Linked DNA regions of Caenorhabditis elegans. The protein of the gene in region 1 interacts with the protein of each later gene in a pairwise test. Each region holds a gene or a part of one and is shown on either strand. Other genes may lie near its edges. The genes, in order: pat-12, C01G6.4, sqst-2 and C33G3.6.

What was found.
Region 2: the proteins of pat-12 (region 1) and C01G6.4 interact in a two-hybrid assay, tested with the Caenorhabditis elegans proteins (one large-scale study listed by BioGRID).
Region 3: the proteins of pat-12 (region 1) and sqst-2 interact in a two-hybrid assay, tested with the Caenorhabditis elegans proteins (one large-scale study listed by BioGRID).
Region 4: the proteins of pat-12 (region 1) and C33G3.6 interact in a two-hybrid assay, tested with the Caenorhabditis elegans proteins (one large-scale study listed by BioGRID).

The regions. Positions count from the first base shown.
Region 1 is NC_003281.10:735,951-740,688, reverse strand, and holds the start of pat-12 (Protein pat-12), read left to right. Parts: upstream 1-1,710; coding exon 1,711-1,860; intron 1,861-3,008; coding exon 3,009-3,095; intron 3,096-4,738. Other genes in the region: idpp-1 (SXP/RAL-2 family protein Ani s 5-like cation-binding domain-containing protein), read right to left, coding at 1-1.
Region 2 is NC_003280.10:9,270,751-9,274,694, reverse strand, and holds C01G6.4 (RING-type domain-containing protein), read left to right. Parts: upstream 1-1,652; 5' UTR 1,653-1,670; coding exon 1,671-1,735; intron 1,736-1,917; coding exon 1,918-1,975; intron 1,976-2,023; coding exon 2,024-2,092; intron 2,093-2,142; coding exon 2,143-2,231; intron 2,232-2,737; coding exon 2,738-2,969; 3' UTR 2,970-3,430; downstream 3,431-3,944. Other genes in the region: C01G6.3 (Lipoprotein), read right to left, coding at 3,543-3,944.
Region 3 is NC_003282.8:7,327,225-7,330,676, reverse strand, and holds sqst-2 (ZZ-type domain-containing protein), read left to right. Parts: upstream 1-1,701; 5' UTR 1,702-1,716; coding exon 1,717-1,785; intron 1,786-1,829; coding exon 1,830-1,980; intron 1,981-2,026; coding exon 2,027-2,131; intron 2,132-2,387; coding exon 2,388-2,791; 3' UTR 2,792-2,906; downstream 2,907-3,452. Other genes in the region: ocr-4 (Ion transport domain-containing protein), read left to right, coding at 1-125, 178-457, 532-777, 825-998.
Region 4 is NC_003284.9:14,079,862-14,086,358, reverse strand, and holds C33G3.6 (Non-specific serine/threonine protein kinase), read left to right. Parts: upstream 1-2,040; 5' UTR 2,041-2,043; coding exon 2,044-2,139; intron 2,140-2,453; coding exon 2,454-2,699; exon of another isoform or gene 2,700-2,765; intron 2,766-2,837; coding exon 2,838-3,323; intron 3,324-3,507; coding exon 3,508-3,588; intron 3,589-3,635; coding exon 3,636-3,763; intron 3,764-3,813; coding exon 3,814-3,855; intron 3,856-3,900; coding exon 3,901-3,966; intron 3,967-4,071; coding exon 4,072-4,143; intron 4,144-4,236; coding exon 4,237-4,278; intron 4,279-4,327; coding exon 4,328-4,399; intron 4,400-4,610; coding exon 4,611-4,679; intron 4,680-4,722; coding exon 4,723-4,794; intron 4,795-4,986; coding exon 4,987-5,070; intron 5,071-5,271; coding exon 5,272-5,355; intron 5,356-5,409; coding exon 5,410-5,503; intron 5,504-5,550; coding exon 5,551-5,691; 3' UTR 5,692-5,978; downstream 5,979-6,497. Other genes in the region: F16B12.1 (CUB domain-containing protein), read right to left, coding at 478-605, 658-789.

The DNA.
Region 1 (4,738 bases):
TCGTTTGCTGGAAAATCTAGAAGTTACGGCGACCAAAGAAAAATTTGAGGAAAAGGGAAAATTAAACGGTTTCTTTCTCAAAGTTCCCAGTTGACTCCTTAAATACTTTAGGCCTAGTCTACCTGATCGCGATGTGTGTTCCTTTGAGCACACACGGTCATTTTTTCCTACAACGTTAGAAAGTAAACTTCTGCGTGCGCGCGCGCAAGCACGGAGCCAGAGAAAAACAGTCTCACTACCTAAGAAAGCCGATCATGGGGTCACTAACCTGGAAAATAGTTGAGCATTTGTGGAGGGTAACGAGGCAATCAACAAACAACCTGGCTTTCTCCTTCCGCATTTGAGATCCGCATCAATTTAGTTAAGGGGGAGGGAGGAAAGAGAGAAAGTTCAAATTTTGTAGTTTTTCAAAAATCGTGTAAATACAATTAACTTTAGGGAACTTTTAGAAGAAAGTGCAACTTACGACAAAAAAATCACAGTGATCAGCGCCAGATTGCGTCGCGAGAAACGTTTATTTTACAAAATCATTAGGCTCTGTATAAGTGACTCATTATTTTAAACTTATTTGTTGGTCTCAATATACTTTTCTCTTACAGGTTATCACAAATGCTAACATGCCATATATCTCCACGAGAATTCCGGATCCCCGCCGGAACCTAGCCGGAGACTTCCCAAGTGAGCATAGCAAGTCGAAGATCAAACTTGATCCGCTCGAGCAACGTCGGTTCAGAGTAAGCCGTACTTTTGAAGACTGAAATAAAATTTTATATCATGTTCAGAGCAGTGAATCGCGTCCAATCACCACCAGCAACTATCTCGCCGAGAGTGTCGATCGCCATCGTGAGATGGAAGCATCCCGGCTCAGAGAGTATTTGAAGGTGATTTTAATTTAATAAAGTCATGAAATTATAAAATTAAACGTTCTAGGCAAAGGAAAACGAAGCCAATCAGCCATGGAACAAACCAGGGTGGCCTGGACCAAAGAAGAATGATGAGAGCCTGAGGGAGCTTGAAACCATGAAACAGGTGAGCATGCATAGCACTGCATGAAAAGTATAGTTAAAAAGTAATTCGGAGTTCCGCATAAATCTAGGTATTCAAATAGTTAAATTAGAAAATATAAGGAAAATTTGGCAATACATCACAAATGTATTACACAAAGCCTACAAGTGATGACCAACAAACTTTGTCGAACCCTTGAAAAAAAAAATTTATTTTAAGATTGTTAAATACATTTTCAAAAATCGACCCGATTACCCAGTTGACAAAATTAAGAGATGTCATTGGTTTAGGGTTACCTTATTCACACTAGAACATTTTTTATAATTTTGTTTCCAGAGAATCGAGACGCTGAAAAGAGTAAGTCTATATCCCCTTTCTTGCATGTTTGTTTGTCTTCCTGTTTGTCCTTATGTGCATGTTATACTGTGTTGTCCCTCCTTTAAAAAAGATATCCCTGGCTTGGAAACGACAACACATGGATCCTCCTACTACCTACTGACCAACTTCCCTGAAACTACACGGTGTGGTGTGAAGCGTAATAGTGTGTAGAGAGCCGTCAGCCGAAATTCAGAAAACTTCCCAATCGATGAGCGATTTGTCAGTCTTGCCTACGCCGTCACAATTCGAGCAGCTAAATCCGGTGAGTAGACGGGGATGTTTTCGGGTACTCCAGGTTTTCAAAACGGAGCATTCGTTGAACAATAAATGAGTTTTCAGCAACCTCAAGCTTCTCCAATATCTCCGGGAGATTCTGGATGGCTGATCAAAATGCGCAAAAATCGATATTTGGATCACACCTCAAAGGTGAATGAGCCTAAGAAGTACAGATCAATGGACCAGCTTCCGACTGGAAAAGTAAGCCCCTGTCTATACTCTCAACCCAAAAAATCTCAACTAATGAGATCCACCAAAAAATTTGCGTCCTGCGCTCTACGCCAAATCGAATAGTGTCTCTGCCGAAGAGTTTTCTCTCGCTTAACACATCTCTCCTTCGATCGAATAGAAGCCTCTTGAAACTTCCGCCGACGCACACACAAACTGTATGTGTGGCTGCTGGAGGCTCTGCGCGGCGAGAGAGGGGGCTTGACGGATAGAATTTGAAACTCTTTTCTTTTCCTCTTTACTCCTCCTTCATTTTTATGAGGATTTTCCTTTTTTTTGAAATTTTTTTTAATGAGTAGGTTTTTTTTAGAGGTTTTCAGGTTAAAGTTGTAGGAATTTTTTGTTTCTTGTTAAAAATGATGCATAACGAGACTAAGGCTTAGTCGTAGTTTAAGGCTCAGACTTAGGGTGCAGTGTAATCCGTTTAAGCCTAACTATAAGATAAACATTATTCTTAGGTGTAGGTATAAGCATAGGCTTAGGCTCAGACTTAGGCGTATGTATAAGCTTAGACTTAGGCCTATGTTTAGGCGTAGGTATATGCTTAGGTTTAAGCTTAGGATTGTACTTAGAATTATGTTTAGGCTCAAACTTAGGTTTTGTCTTGATCATACAGTCTTAAGATCAAAATGAAAGGAAAAGTGTTCATTGCATATATTCCTTTTTAGTTAACTTTCAGTTTTTTTTCAAAATTGTTATTGCCTAAAAATAAGACTAAAATTCAGTATTGGTTGAGGTTTTTAATTTCTTGGTGACAAAAAAAAAACGAACTAATCTAGTTTGATATTCCAAAATAATCATGTTCGACCATCATATGTTATTTCCTTTTCCATATTTGATGCTTTATTTTTTTTTTAGAAAATCCTATTGACTTTGAACCTTCATTGCTTCCTTATCTTCACTCTATCTCTTACCGCAATCATAAATTGTTTGTTTCGAAGTTTGTTCGGAGCAGCAGTAGCAGGCGCCCGCGCTCGCGCACCTCCCACAATAATTGTCGGTGTATGCGTGGGGGTGATGCTTTGACTGTTGAATCAGTAATCCGAAATAAAAACAAAGCAATTTTCGAATTGAACAACATTGAAACAAATTGCCTAAAATACAAACAGTTTTGATTACAGGTTGGTGCACCCGACAACGAGAAGTCGGAAGGTACAGATCCGCTGCACTGGCAACTGAGGAAAGACTTCCATTTGGCTAAGTATTCGGTATGTTTTAGTTGGTAACAATTTTGAATATCTGAAAAATTGTAAATTAAGGATCTAGTGAACCAATGTATCAAACCATTAGAATTACAACGATCAGACTTACCTAGTAAATAGTCATCTCCAAAAGGAGTATCTTCAAAGCTAAAAAATGTCCAAGTCGAGAAATAGGTTAATTAATTACAACTTTAGCAAGTCTTGAAGTCCAATTCATAGCTTAAAACATAAGGATCTACCCCGAATTCTATTTTTTTACTGCATAGGAGTTCTACAACGACCCAGGAGATCTTATAAAATTATAGTACTCTCTGGAGCTGTTTTTAAGGCCTAATAACTTTTCTATGCCACCACTATGTATTATATGAAAGTGAAATAAATATCGAAAATTCTACTTTAGTTTGTTAAAATTCACTTCAACTTCTGAAAAGATTATATTAGTGTAACAAACGCACTTGGAGTCAGAATGTCTCAATTCAGTTTGATCTTCAAAAAATGCGGGAGGTAAGACACAGACATCTGATTTTTTTGTATGATTGAGCGTGCTGACACCACAATTTTTTTGGGAAAAAATTCCCGCATTTTTCGTAGACCACACTGTAATGGGAGAGCCTGACACCACCTGCAAACGTATTCCTAAACATTTACAGAAATTCGTTAAATCCCAGTCATCTCCACACATAGATGTATTTATCATTTCTCTGCAGTAGTTCTTAACCGTCATGCGTTCCGCGTCGTTCTTATGTTCCGCGCACCGGGGAAACACGCATTTGACCCGAATAGTGTGCTCATGGTGATAAGTGTTCATGCTCGTGCGTGCCTTAACCTCCTCCTCCCCTGTGTTGCTCCTGGCGCTTTTTGCTTCGTTTTGTCTTTCTCTCCACTATCCCTCGTTTTTAACATACGAAACAAGAAAGACAAACACATTCGTCAAAATCCTAGGAGTTCCCGGGTGCGTCTCTCCGACCTCTCACTAAGTCTCTGGCTCCCCATTATCCTCAAAAGCACTGTGTTTTTTTTCATTATTAGGTGCCAGAATCTAGGTTCAATCTTTTCAATTCTATTTCAATTTTTAAATTTGATGGTTGCAACCAAATGTTTCTCGGCGGAACAGCTTTAACATACCTATTGTTTCAAAAACTTTTGTGGTCAATAGACATAACTCTGAGCGCAAGGCACCCATCTCTAATCACTGTTGCTTCTGTTTGCTGGGCGGGTGAGAAAAATGTCCAACATTGTGTTGTACTTCTTTTTCAAAACCATTCTTTTTCATCGTTACACCAGCACTCTCGTTTCCTGCGTTTCTCACAATTTTGGGATTCTCTGTTTATTCGAGTACATACCGTAGTGGTCGGCTCTCGCTGCTCAACACTTCATTTTTTGCCCTCGAAAAGAGTTTTTTTGGAAAGTTGCAAATTCAAAAATCACGGAGATATTGTTTTGTTAACTTTTATTGGCGAAATCGATTTTTAAAAAAAATTCTCTAACAAGATACCTTTTCAAAATTAAAAAGTGTCCATCATTGAAATGATCTCATCTTTGACCAAATCTATAATTTTTATATTTATAGTTACTCTATTTTCTTTTCTCCCACTGAGATCTCGTCTTGCCTTATTGAAAAATCCTAGAGAATTATATAGAAAAGTTAC
Region 2 (3,944 bases), on another chromosome or scaffold:
AAATGATTACTGTATCGCTTGTGTCGATTTACGCGTTCGATTTTTTAAATGAATAAAATTGAGCAAAAAATGAGAAAATAACACGAAGAAACGAAAGAAAATGGAATATTGCTGTCACTTTTTGAAAAAAAAAAAGATTTTGAAAATTGAGCCCGTAAATCGACAGAAGCGCTACAGTAGTCAGTTAAATAATTACTGTAGTTTTCGTTACGAGATATTTTGCGCGTCAAATATGTCGCACAATATGCATTCTCCGAGTTTTGCGTTCCTGTAATACGAAAAAGGTTACTGTATCCCAGGGTTTGGATCGTAGTTTTAGAAATCCCAAAAAAAAAGTTAGGACTCTTTGATAAAAAATTTTGTTCGATATGATTTGAAAAAATAAAGTTCCGTCAACAAAATTGACAGCTGAAGAAGGAAAAGGCGGGGCCCCAGTGGGCATGAGTGTCCCCAAGTCATGCGGTTATGTCTCTGCGTCTCTTCTTCTTCGTATACTCTCATTTCAGCTGTCTCATCGTCTGAAACTCTTATGGCTCAATGAACTCTCGTTTCAAAGAGACAGCTGCAATCGAACAGAGAGAGAAAGAGTGAAAGAGAGAAAATGAGAAGACTGCTTCGAGACACAACCACTTTTGGTCGTACTGCTTTTTTTCACCTGTTTTCACATGTATCGATTCAAGTTTTTAGAATCTAAGTTTCAAATTTTGATCACTTCAAAAATTATTAGTTATTTCTTTTTAGTCTAGACTTTCCTCGCGAGAAACATGCTTAAATTTGAATATATATCGAAATGTTGTATTTCTTATCAATAGACAACATTAATGTTTACTATCGATTAGGTTTTGTACGATTATGTCGTATAAAAATGTTGCTAATGCATTTCCTATGATTCTTGATGTTTTAGAACGGATTACGAAATTCTGCAATGATCAGTCAAATAATTTAAAGATATTTAGTATATTTAGCTACCACCTAGATACAGTAACTGATTAAATCGTCTCACTTCTTAAGTCTATTGTTAACTCTTTTCCTTAAAAAAGGGTCTTCATGTCCTATTTGTTTTGGTTTCGAGACCTGTTTTGGGCATAAATACGTGCAAACTACGGAAAGTCATTCCCGGTTTCCCAGAGAATCAATATTTGACGAGAGCTTCCGTGCACACCCAAACACACAGACACACATACACATAAAATGTTTCACAAAGTCGCTAAAAATGTTTTCTCATTGATTTTCTGGGAAGCCTGATTAATTAAAGAAGTCGCAGTGATGTTGTTCTTAAAGTTCGATGTGTAATTATGAGTAATTTTCCTTCCTGGTTTTCCATGCATGGACGTTTGAACATTATCTTACTATTAATTAGACGTCTAAAAGGTCTTGCGGCGCGAGCAGTGGGTTACTGTAGCTCGTGTCAATTTACGGGCCGAAATTGTACAATATACATTTTTTAATCATGAGTCAGAATTTTTTAAATTAAATTAGAGAAATATAACGCTATGGCAAACTGTATTTTGACACGAATTACAGTAACTTGTTGCCCGCGTGGCGAGACCCATCCGGAAAAGTCATGTAGAAAATTCTCATCTTTAGTCGTCTGAGAAATACTCCGATGTCCTCATTTTGTCACATCTTCATATATTCGACTTTTTTTTCAGCTTGATTTTCGATCGACAATGGGAAACTGCTTGCCGTCGTTGTTCGGGTTCGTCAGACAGCACGATGAGACGCCACTACGACGGTAATTTACTTTGTCATTCACTAGTATACTGTGAGATGTCGATGAAGCTAAACTGATGTGATATACCACAAAAATGAAAACGGAAGTTGTATTAACCAAAACACGTCGATTTTTTAAAAATTTAAATACAATTAGATTGTATGCTTGAAGTATAGAACAAGTTCAATAAACTATTTTTGCAGGAGCCGATCATCAGACGCAGCGATGAGCTTCACAAATCCGTCAATGATGCAACAAAGCGTAAGAAATTATTGAAGAATCTGAATTTAATTAAACTGAAATTTTCAGAGTTCGTACGTAAATCAGCTCTATCAACACAACGTAATTAGACAACGACAAGCACAGGAACAGGGAAAAGTGAGCGTTTAGAGCAGAATAATTTTAATTAAATTTTAAAAAATTCTCAGGAACTCGACGAAGCAAAAAAAAACCGAATTCGAGGACTTCTCGAGCAAATCCCTGCTGATGTATTTCGAGGAGATATGACCAGTAATGAGTAAGTTTTGAAATTCGGATCTAAATGAAAAATTAACTAAATTATTCAAACTACAATCTGACCAATATCAATTATTGTTCGAGCTACAGCAGAGGTGTTGAAAAAATTATTATCACCCAGACGCAAAATTTCACTCACAAAATATGGTTCCCGGTCTCGGCACGACAAAATTTTTGTGTACTGTGGAAGAGTGTGCGCCTTTAAAGATTACTGTAATTTTAAACTATAGATATATACGGAAATTTCATAGATTTTTAATTCTTTTTTGAAAACTCAAATATATGTGATTAAAAAATCACATACATTTTCACGAAACTTAAAAAATGATGAAATTTCCGCTGCAAGGAGAGTTTGAAAATACAGTATTCTATAAAGGCTCACACCTTTTCGCATTAAACAAAAAATTGTCGTGTCGAGACCGTGTATCGCACTTTGGCGCAAAATTTCGCGCCTGTATAATCAGTATTAATGCGCTCTAGTTAAATTTTTAAAAAAACCATTTTCAGATGTGCCATCTGTATGATCGACTTTGAGCCAGGAGAGAGAATCCGATTCCTTCCTTGCATGCACTCGTTTCATCAAGAATGCGTCGACGAATGGCTTATGAAGTCATTCACATGTCCTTCGTGCCTTGAACCAGTCGATTCAACCATACTTTCCTCGTTAACTGCCCATAATATGCAATCCTTACAACAAATCGTGTGCTCGCCGACTTCCTCATCAACTGCCAAACCATGAATGCCTTCTGCAAAAAATATTCCCATTTTCTTGCCCAGTAGAAGTTTTCGAGTTTGGTTTGCAGTGTTGGCTGTATTTGTCCCCATTACAAACGTCTGTATATAGAAATGCGTGTACATATGAACTATACCATTTCTTCACTCATCTTTCACCATTTTCATTTTGTTTCTTTTTTGCTCTGTTCCACCTGAAATCCCCATGTTGTGCATACTGTAGTCGTCTTTAATTCCTCATCATCTCCTGTTCATCTTTTTAGTCAATTCCATCCCAACGTGTTATTTTTCTTTCTTCTGTTCACTCATCTCGCTCTCTGTTCTGTAGCTTTTCTTTAATTCACCACTCGGTACACACTTTCTGTCTATGTATCTGATACTCATTTTATTGACTTCCCAAAAAAACTTCCGGCTACTCTGAAATTCAAATAAATTGCTTTTTTTTAACGCATAAAGTGTCAAATTGTCAAACTTGTTTTATTAAAAGATTCATATTGGAAATTGAAATTTGAAAAAAAGGATTGGATCCCTGATGGAAATTGGTACTCGTGGTGAAAAAAATATTAAAATTAAAAGTCAATTAAAATCCGAAAAAGTCTCGAACGGCATCCCAGGCTCCTTGATCGTAATGCTTATGGCTTAGCATGTTCACACCACGTCGTTGAGTGGTATACAATCGTGTCGGAGTGTCGGACTTCAGAATCTTCTGCGATTCTGGCAGCAATTCGGCGAATTGGCTCTTCTCCGGCTCGTGATGAGGTGTCATATCGGGCATCATAACTGGTGATCCGTTTTCAGTGGTTGGAGTTCCAAAACTAGTTCGGAGCACGAAGACACGTCCAGGAACGGTTGATTTTGTGCCATTTTGATACAAATCAACATCAGACTCGGTCGTAGCGTAAATATATCCGATTCCGAAGCTTCTGCGGAAGACAAACTCATCTTCGGTCTTGTAGGCGTAAATTGGGCAATCCGAGAGAGT
Region 3 (3,452 bases), on another chromosome or scaffold:
CTATTTTCCTGTATTCTAATGGTCATCACATTTTTTCTGAGAATATTTTGTTTGGATGAAGCCGAGGATATTGTTTGGATAGTGATTGTTTTATTAACTTCATTGAAATTTCTGTTCTTTTGTAGGTAAGTACGCTTTATGATTAGATCCACAATAGGAAATAAACTACTTTTCCAGAGGATTTAAGTCAGTTGGACCATTCGTCTTGATGCTCTATAAAATTATAATTCGTGATTTAATGAGATTCTTCTTGATCTATTTGGTCATTGTAGTTGGCTTCTCTCAAGCATTTTATGTCATATTCCTCGGTTATAAGAGAAGTGATTCTGGAAATCGTGAACCAAGCATTATGAGTAACGTTGCGGAAAGCTACGTACGGATGTTTATCATGTCACTCACAGAGTTTACTGTATTTTTTGAGCAATTGGAAGAATGTGAGCATACCGTTATTGGAAAGGTAGGCTTACACTTTTTTTAAAACAATTCTAGACTAGAAAGATCATCGAAAAATATAGAATTTTTGATTTTCAGATAACATTCGTAGTCTATATGCTTCTCGTAACACTTTTGCTCATTAACATGCTTATTGCTATGATGACTAATACTTATACAGAAGTCTCTGGAAATTCATTAGAGTGGCTTCGACAATGGTCTGCAATTATTCTAATGATGGAACAAAGTTTTGATCCAGCAACCAGGTTACGGTATCAAAGAAGATATGGAATACGTTTTGATGGAGGTGAAAAACTAGTTTTATTGTTAAAAGATAAAATGACAGTGAGTTCCTCTTACACATTTGCCAATAGTTTGATGATAAATTTAAGGAGGAAGAATTCGAGTGCCAGCGGAAGAAAATGCACGAAGAGCGTCGTAAATTCCGTGAGGAACTTCGCACAAACCAGAGAAGACGGCCAGTATTTATATGCAAGCAAGGAGCAAATTATTTCAAATCGAAGCATCGACATACTAATAATAAGTTGATTATTCCTACCGGCTAATTTTTTTTACTGTTTCATTCTCTTCCTAAAATAATTTGTCTAATAAATGTTGGATCTTGTTAGTGAAAAATGTGGAAAGTTGATGTTTCTTCTTTGATTCCTCAATCTTGCTTTTTTAGAAACCTTTAAATTTGGCAGTGGAAAACTTTAAATGAAATGGATGTCTCAAATAGTTTCCGGATTTAATATGTTGCATTCAAATATTTTTATTTAAGACTGTTTAATTTAGAACATTTTAAAAGTGTTTTTTACTATTTTTTGGTACTGTTGCAGTAACCATAATCAAGTATAACGATATGAAAACTTTCAAAACGAACTGCTCAGCCAGTCCACAAGCGGCATACTGTTAGTTTATTTCGGCAAATTTTGTCAGTTCAATTTGAAAATTTATTTATTAAAAAAGGATTAAGAACTCACCCAAGAGAATGCCCATCGTTTTTAGTGTTATTTCTAGTGTTATACCAAGTCAATTCAGATATTTCAAAAAATGCAACATTCTCTGATGTGCCTTCTTCTTTTCTTTGCTTTGCTCTCCAAAAATGACTAACGAGTGGAATGTTATCTTATCAAAAACTGCATCATTCAGCATTTGACAAGAGTTTCACTGGCGCTGAAATCAACATTTTCACTTCTCGACTCTTCCTAACTTTTTTTCTAAAATTGCTCATTACTTCTATAGATTAACTTTTTAGTTTTGATTTAGTTTGGGTCAACAAAAATGAGTAGTATTCGATACAGGAGACCACCAATCATAGAACGAAGATATGAAAGAACTCCATCATATTCGGTAACTTCAAGAATATTCGATTTCAGTAATAAAACTGTTTTCAGACGATTCCAAGGGATATTCATGTCTCATTCTACCATAATAACTATCACAGATCAAAGATTTTGTATTTGAATAAGTTCAACGCAATGGAAAAATTAATTGAAGCTGCACACGAATTGTATCCATCAAATGGTGTTTATCGTCTATTTTCGGGTGAGTTTTTTGAAATGAAAAAATATTTGTAATAATTTTTTAATAGATAGTACAATTGGTGCTCAAAACGAGTTGAATGATTCAGTGCAAGTTATGGAATGTGTTCAAAATCCTGATCATATTCTTCCACATCTACATATAAGACTGGAAGGTAAGATTTTACGGAAAACTTTTTAAAAAACAGTTCCATAGTCCTATTATAACAACCTTGTTAGTTCTTTGTTAGATAATCTTACAATTTGAAAATTCAATTATTCAAATTAAGTTTTTTTAAAAAAAGGAACAATGATCTTTCAAAGTATTTTTTATTTTCAAATTTTGAGAAATTTCAAGTTGTTTTGCAAAGGTGTGTTCTTATGTAACTCAAAACTAATAGTAACAAAATTTTTAAAAATTTAATTTTTCAGATTACCGTCCCAGAAGCATAAGCCGTAATTATCACGAAGTTAACGTTCCAATAATTCGAACTCCATCTCAACATTCAATCCATCAATCTGTTCGATTCAACGATAACAAACGTCATCACCATCATCATCATCATGATTCAATAAGAAACTTCGTCCATCATGACACTCCATGCCGAAACTGTTTCCGTATAATTGTTGGAAGCCGTTATCACTGTCTTCAATGTCCAGACTATGATATTTGTGGAGACTGTGAAAAAGATTTGGTTCACTACGAGCATGCTCTTCTACGAATTGTGACTCCAAGGGTTACAAGTATTCCTGATTATGTCACAGTTAACGCCCCAAGTTACATTTTCCCAGAACATCGTTATGATATCAAAAGAGAACATTATCATTGGTTTTAAATTGTATTTTATAGTTTTGTTGTTTTTCCTATTTATGTTGTGAACTTAGTTTTTCTGTCGGATTTCTGTCCTATCTTGTTATACTTAAAAAGACCAAAAAAGTTATGTAATTGCAGAAGTGCAAAAAACCAAGACGCATCCTCCATTCAATTTTAATTTCCTGAAATCTATCTCGCAAAAAAAAAAACAAAAAAAAAAATTCCCTCTTATTTTGAATTTTAAAATTAAATTTTTCTTGTGCTTTTCAGAAATCTGTTCCAATTGAATTTTCATTCCTATTGACTTGTAGGACTAGAATTAATAACACCGCGGACCACCTTTATTGAGAATTTCAAAAACATTTTGTAGGCCATGTTTCCAATTTTTAATTGTCTTAAAATTAACACAATGTTTCAAAATTTCTATTTTAATTGGCTCCATAGAACACTTTTCCATGTAATTAGAAAATGCCTACCTGCCTGACACCTAGAAAGTGACCAACGCTTACTGTGCATTGAAAGCATGCAAGTAGGCATTTTTGCATGCGTGGGAGGTTTCTACAACTCAGCCAAAGCAGTCTATTGTACCTACCCATTCCTTATTTATTCTTCCGCAATCACCAATGACGCGTTCATGATTTTTCACTTTTTCAAAAACAAAATTTGATTGTCACTGCCCTTAT
Region 4 (6,497 bases), on another chromosome or scaffold:
CGGAAACTTAGACGCAGACTTCTCACAAGATTTTGTATGGTTAAGAGCGTGCTGACGCCACATTTTTCTATGCAAAAAATTACCGCATTTTTTGTAGATTACATAAAAATGGGACAGTTTGACATGGGATCTTCGCTTTTTTCGGTTTAACTTTCTACATTAAAATCTATAACGAATGTATAAAAGATATTCCCTTATACGCAGACCGAATTCCTTTAAAACTCTACTCTCATATCTTGGCCGTGTTCTGTTTTGCACAGAATTTTGTTGTACGGAACATAATTTTTTCATTGTTTCTTTTTTTTGCATTCTCAATATGACTAATTGATCTCACGATGATCCCACAAGCATGTATTTTTCAATTATATATTGCAGGAAACTGAACATAGGTCTCCTTTCACAGGCAGTTTAAAAAATAATGAGCTTAATTAATTTTTATTGAATTATTATTCTAATTTAAAACAAGATACAACTTACTTTGCATGCGGAATACGAATTCTTTCACCATTTTCCTCGAGCAGACTGTAAACGATGAGACTTGCCCGACTGGAGATTTCAAACGACGATGTGTAAAGAGAAACGGTTTTGTTGGGATGTGGAAGTATCTATAGCTAGTTAACATTTATTAACTCCAATCACATTCTCTAATTTACTAACAATGTAGACACATCTTCCATCGCAACTTTGTGAATTCGGGTAGTGAGGTGATTTGATGATTCCATGTTCGATAGTTGCCTCATAAACTTCTTCTTCACAGGTACAATTGCCTTTCTTGATTTCATAGTCCATGTCATCATTTGAACTATCAATTGCATGTGTGATGATTGGAATTAGAAAGACACAAAAAATCCCTGAATACAATTATGTTGGCTATAAACTGTAATCAGCTAAATGTTATCAAAAGAGGCATTCAGATTGTTACTGGTTACAATAATTTCGAACTCACACATTCTTATTCAGCTAATAATTTTGATGATCAGTGAGAAACGGTGAGGACTCGAAATTAACGCAATGCAAAATAAACAGAAGCTGATATTGTTTATCAGAAGACTCATATTCAATTACTTCTCGCAGTGAATCAAATAAACGAAATGCCATCCAATATTGATGGGTGAGGAAATGAAAGAGTTTGAATAAAGTTATTTAAAAAAAAACAATCAGAACAATTTTGTTTATGCAGTTCGTCTGGAACAAAGTTGACAAGATTTATGAACCACTGATTACGTTTAAGTTGTGACAAAATAAATGTGCATGTAGAGCGGGGCTACCAAAAAGGCCACCTATTTATGTCTATGAATTTTCAAAACATACAAAAAATTTCAAATTAATATGTTACCCTCAAATGGTGCTAGAATCAATATTTTCTTCACAGTTTGTCAGTCATTTATTGAGTTTATCGAGATTTCTGGATCGCATAACTCAAATCTTTAAAAATAGTTAGTCTTGTTTGCACTATTTTTGTCTTCTAAAAAAATGTTGACAAACAATTTTTGCAGATTTTTCGACAAACGTAAAAAATTTTATTCAACCAAATTTATGCAAACTTTTATGTATTATGTAGATTTTTTTGTTTTTCTGTAACTAATCAAATTGCCTCGAAGTTTCTTGAATATTTTTAAACAGTTCCCAATTTTCCATAAGCTTTTACATATTCAGAGTTTCCCGCTAAAAATGTTTTCAGGAAAACGGAATTTCTCATTATGGGCTTAGAGCGAAAAAAGGCCGCGGCTAATCAGGTCCCAAAAAATGCTTGGATTGGGTTACTGCTCTCACGACGGGAGGGTCTTACGAGTTTCTGCTTTTGAACGAGTCATCTTTCCTCTCTTTCCTTTGCCATAAAATCGCACATAACGCGCTCTTTCTCTCCGTCTATTACGTCCAGTCTCACTTTACCACCCATCATGCCATTTTGTATCTGTTCGTTTTTCTACCTCCCTTGTTCCTCCATAGCTTCCAGTTAAAAATTCAATAAGTGAACGCAACTTTACAATTTTTTTAATTTTAAATTTTTCACAAAAAATTATACGCATTTTTTTGCAGGGTATGTCCGACCACGAAGACCAATTTCTTGTGTTCGCAGCTGACGACACTAATCGATTAACTGAAGAACACGGACACGGGGAAATGGGCAGGGATAAAGTGAGTTGGTTACAAATTCTTCAAGAACAAACATTACGAAAAAGTGTTGGTTAATGCTTCCTAATTTAACTTCTACAATTTTTTGGATGATATAAATTTTCACAACTTCAAATAATTTTTCGTTGAAAGTTGTTCAGAACTTGTAAATTATTATAGTTTAAGACTAATGAAACCTTTCGAAAAAAAGAGATCCACCGCTGTTTTTTTGAAAATTAGTGCGGTACACCGCTTCAATATAAAATATAGGGTTTATGAAAATGCAAAATTTAATGCGGAGCATCAAAATTCAGAAAAATACCACCATGGTTTTGCAGGCAGGAGTCGACGAAGAATGCCGGCACGAAGAGGATAAGGATGAATCTAACACGGAAAACCTCAAAAACACTGGCGAAAATGCAACAGCATGTAATGGAATAAATCGAAAAAACTATATCGAAAGAAACCGCATTGGAAATAGTGAAATTGAGGAAAAAATAGAAAAGCAAATGTCGGTAGAGAAGAACATTTCCATCGAACAATTTTTTGGAGAGAATCAAAAATCAACTCGGAACAGTGATCAGGTATATATATATATATATATATATATATATATATATATATATATATATATATATATATATAACATAATTCTAGCCAGAACGCCTTTTTCCTTAATATTTCAGCAATATGCGCAACTTGCTTAACTTTTTTATTTTCAGAACGCCAAAAACCATGAAGAAGATCCTGAAAGTGACGACGAAGAAACCGCATACTTGAATCTAATAAGAAGCTTCAAAAAGGAAGAGTCAATGCATGATCTTAAAAATGCATCGGGAAAACTGCCATCCAGCAATTGTGAAGATGAAATATCAATTGATGAATTTCACGATTCAGAAAGCAACGGAAAATGTAGCGAAGAAGAGGATGAAGATGAATCTTATTTGATTCAATTGAAATACTTTGGTGGAAGTGGTAAACCGTTAGAACAAGGACAAGAAAAGCCAACAAGCGCAGAAACCAATGAAGGATTTAACATAGATGAAAAGCCAGATGAAATGAAGAATAATTATGAAACTGATTCAGTTGAAAATGTTCAAAAAGGAGAAACCGAAGAGGAAAAACGAAAGCGATTGTCTGAAGAAGAGCGTTTGTCTGCTGAATTTTTGGCATCTCTTGATCAAAAAACTATTGATGCAGATAGGCTGGTGAGTATATATGTATATGACAAATTATATTTTCTAGCCCAGAAATGAGCTTATAAAATAATCTTCTCACTTAGCAAAAATTTACGAATTAATGTGATGAAAACTGTATAAATTGACTCTTGAAAAAAAAGAAAAAAAGAAAAAAGAGAAGATAAAGTCTTTTTTTCTAATTTCATAATTTCAGAGACATAATCTAAACCATCGAGAAAAAATAAAGGAAGAAGCTGAGCGTCAACAATTGGAACCTGAAATGCAGAAGTCTTATGTGAGTATTTATGCACAATTTTTTTTAAAATTTGGACTTTACTTTAGAACAATGACTATCGGCAAAGCTCAATCAATTCACATCAAGATAAATATGAAAACTCATCGAATGGCATCAACTACACTGATAGAAATCAAGACGTTTACAATAACAAATCATATGGACAGCAGGAATGGTATAAAACATCTTTTTTAGTTGTTAAATTGTTAAAAATATATTTTTTAGGTTGAAAAATACGTCCTCCGATCATTTACCCTATTGTGATCCGTAAGTTAAAATCAGTTTTTACAATAATTTAACATTTTTTTGCAGACGAGACATTCAAAGAGCATCAAGTCAAAATGTCTATCATGAAGGGATTAATTCGCATGTAAGCAGGTGAGTGTTTAAACTGTTATACGAAAAAAAACAATGTACAAGAGCATCCATATAGGTATAAATATTGAATGATCAAGTATTTTCATAATATAAGATGTAATTTAGACCAAACTACAATCAACCGCAGCACCATCAGCACCACCAGCAGTCTCACGATCAGAATTCAACTATTTCCAGGTAAAATTTTCTTACGCAATTGATCTTATAAGATCAATTAGGCACCCCACACAATTTTTTTTTAAACTTATGTTTTTAAATTTGTTTTTCAAGTGTGGAATACAACCAATACCAGCAAAAGGCGGGCAGTTATGGGTAAGTACTATGCTATTGCTCCATAGCAAAATACATATTTATTTCACAGACGAAACTACCATCCTTACAATAATCATCATCAACAGTACAACCCATACAATCAGGTCCTCGAAAACTCAAGGTAAATTTTAATGGGCGAAATGTTAAAAAAAAGGTGTAATTTCTACTGAAATTCCATATTTGTAATAACTTGGACTTATATTGTAATGCATTCATTATTTATGAAAAACTTTGAAAACACAAGCTTTAAACGTAAAAAAATCATAGAGAAGGGGCATCAGGCTGAAAAACATACGATTTTTATACAATAAATAAATTAAATCATTTTTCAGTTCGGAGTATAATCCACGCCAGCAGGAGTCTAGAAATGCCAGTTATATCAACATCTCAACATTTGATGGGTAATTTTAATATTATTTATCAGACGAAATACGGATTTTTCAGATATAACCACCATCAATATAATGGACATCATGAACGGGCAAACTCATACAATCCATACCCTGAAAACTCCAGGTAAATTCGAAATAGGGCTTATACTTCGATGAAAAACCTATTAGATCTGGTGTGGACGTTGAATCTGGCTCTCTCTCAAAGTAGGCTAAGATCTGCCTGACTCGCGATGCCTCCTATAAAGCTTAATGAAAATTTGGCCAACGTCGTTTAAAAACTGCAACAAATGTATTTTTTCAAATTACATTTTTTCAGAAACTTTTCACACCAATCGCAGCATAGCGGACGTCAAGCTGAGCAGCCGTACAACTCGTATGATCAATTTTTGACGAATGGAAGGTAGGTTCAGCCAAAACATTTTTCTCCTAGATAAAGAATCAAGCATCTGAAATTAAGAATAGGCGTGAAAAACAAAATTTTGCAATAACCAAGACAGTACTCAGTGGGTACCTGAAAAGCGTAGCCATTCAGGAGATACTATTCCTAAATACAATTGTCTCAAATAAAAAGTTGCATACATAAATTTATTTAACTTTTCAGAACCGAGTCATATGGAAACACCAACCATCAGTCTGAATCACTGGAAAAATCAAATTACGACTATAGAAATACTACAATTTTGAGGTTGGTTTTGAAAGTTTTGAAAAGAACTATAAATAAATATTTGGATGATTTCAGGCTTCTAATCGATAAGAAAACGGAAAGCTACGAGATAGCACGCCAAATTATTGATTATCTCGAGCTTTGCAAACGCAAAAATGTCAGAGTTACGGTGAGCTCAGCTCTAATACGGATAAATGATGAAAAATTTAAATTCAGAAAGATTCAATATATGAAGCTCCAAATCGCGTTTCCTATAATGTTGATCTGGTCGTGTTCATCAACCAGAAAATGAGTCATCTTGTGAAATGCGAGGACGATGAGTTCCGATTAATTTTGAACAGTGACGAAGGAAATTGATATATTTCCAATATTTATGACTTGATAGTTTTAATTCTTATTTATTTTTTGTTTTCCCGAGTTTTTTTCTAAATTTGTGTTTAATTTAGAGCTTCGCAGACCGGCTTGCTAGATCAATATTGTTAAGTAATTTGTTAATTGACAGCATTTTTGCAACTCAGAGTTCTTATAAATTATACATTTTCAGGTAGTCTTTCTCAGAAAGAGAGTAGGGTCCCCGGGGCTAGTCTTCACTATTTATTCATGTTTTCAAGGACTTTAAAAAATTAATAAACGTATATATACTTATTTATAGAAACCAGCCTAGTAGTATTCACTCAAAAAACCTTATAGACTTATTAAAGAAGGACAACACTTTGTGGGGAAATTGCTTTAAAACATGCCTATGGGGTCACAATGACAGAATATCATGATCAAAAAGTTCAAAAAAATTTTCTAAATTTGATATGATTTTTTGAAAATTGAAAAAATCTCAGTTTTCCCCTAATTCCAATTTTAATTTCTCATTGTACCAATAATGTTATGTAAACGCATATCATGTCAAAGACCAATTCTATTCATGTTTTCAAAAGATGTAAACTCAAATTTTTAAAATTTTCTTCCCAACTACCAATTTACGGCATTTTCTTGTTTTAGAAATTTTTTCAAACTTTTTATCAGCTCGGAAAAAAGTATTTTTCTAGGAATTTACGATGCTGCAAATTTTGTGATAAATCAGCGTTTGTCAATAATAAAATCCTAGTAACAATAAATTATCCATGACGATTTCGGGGAATTAAGATTTGAAAAAATAGCTCATAAAATTT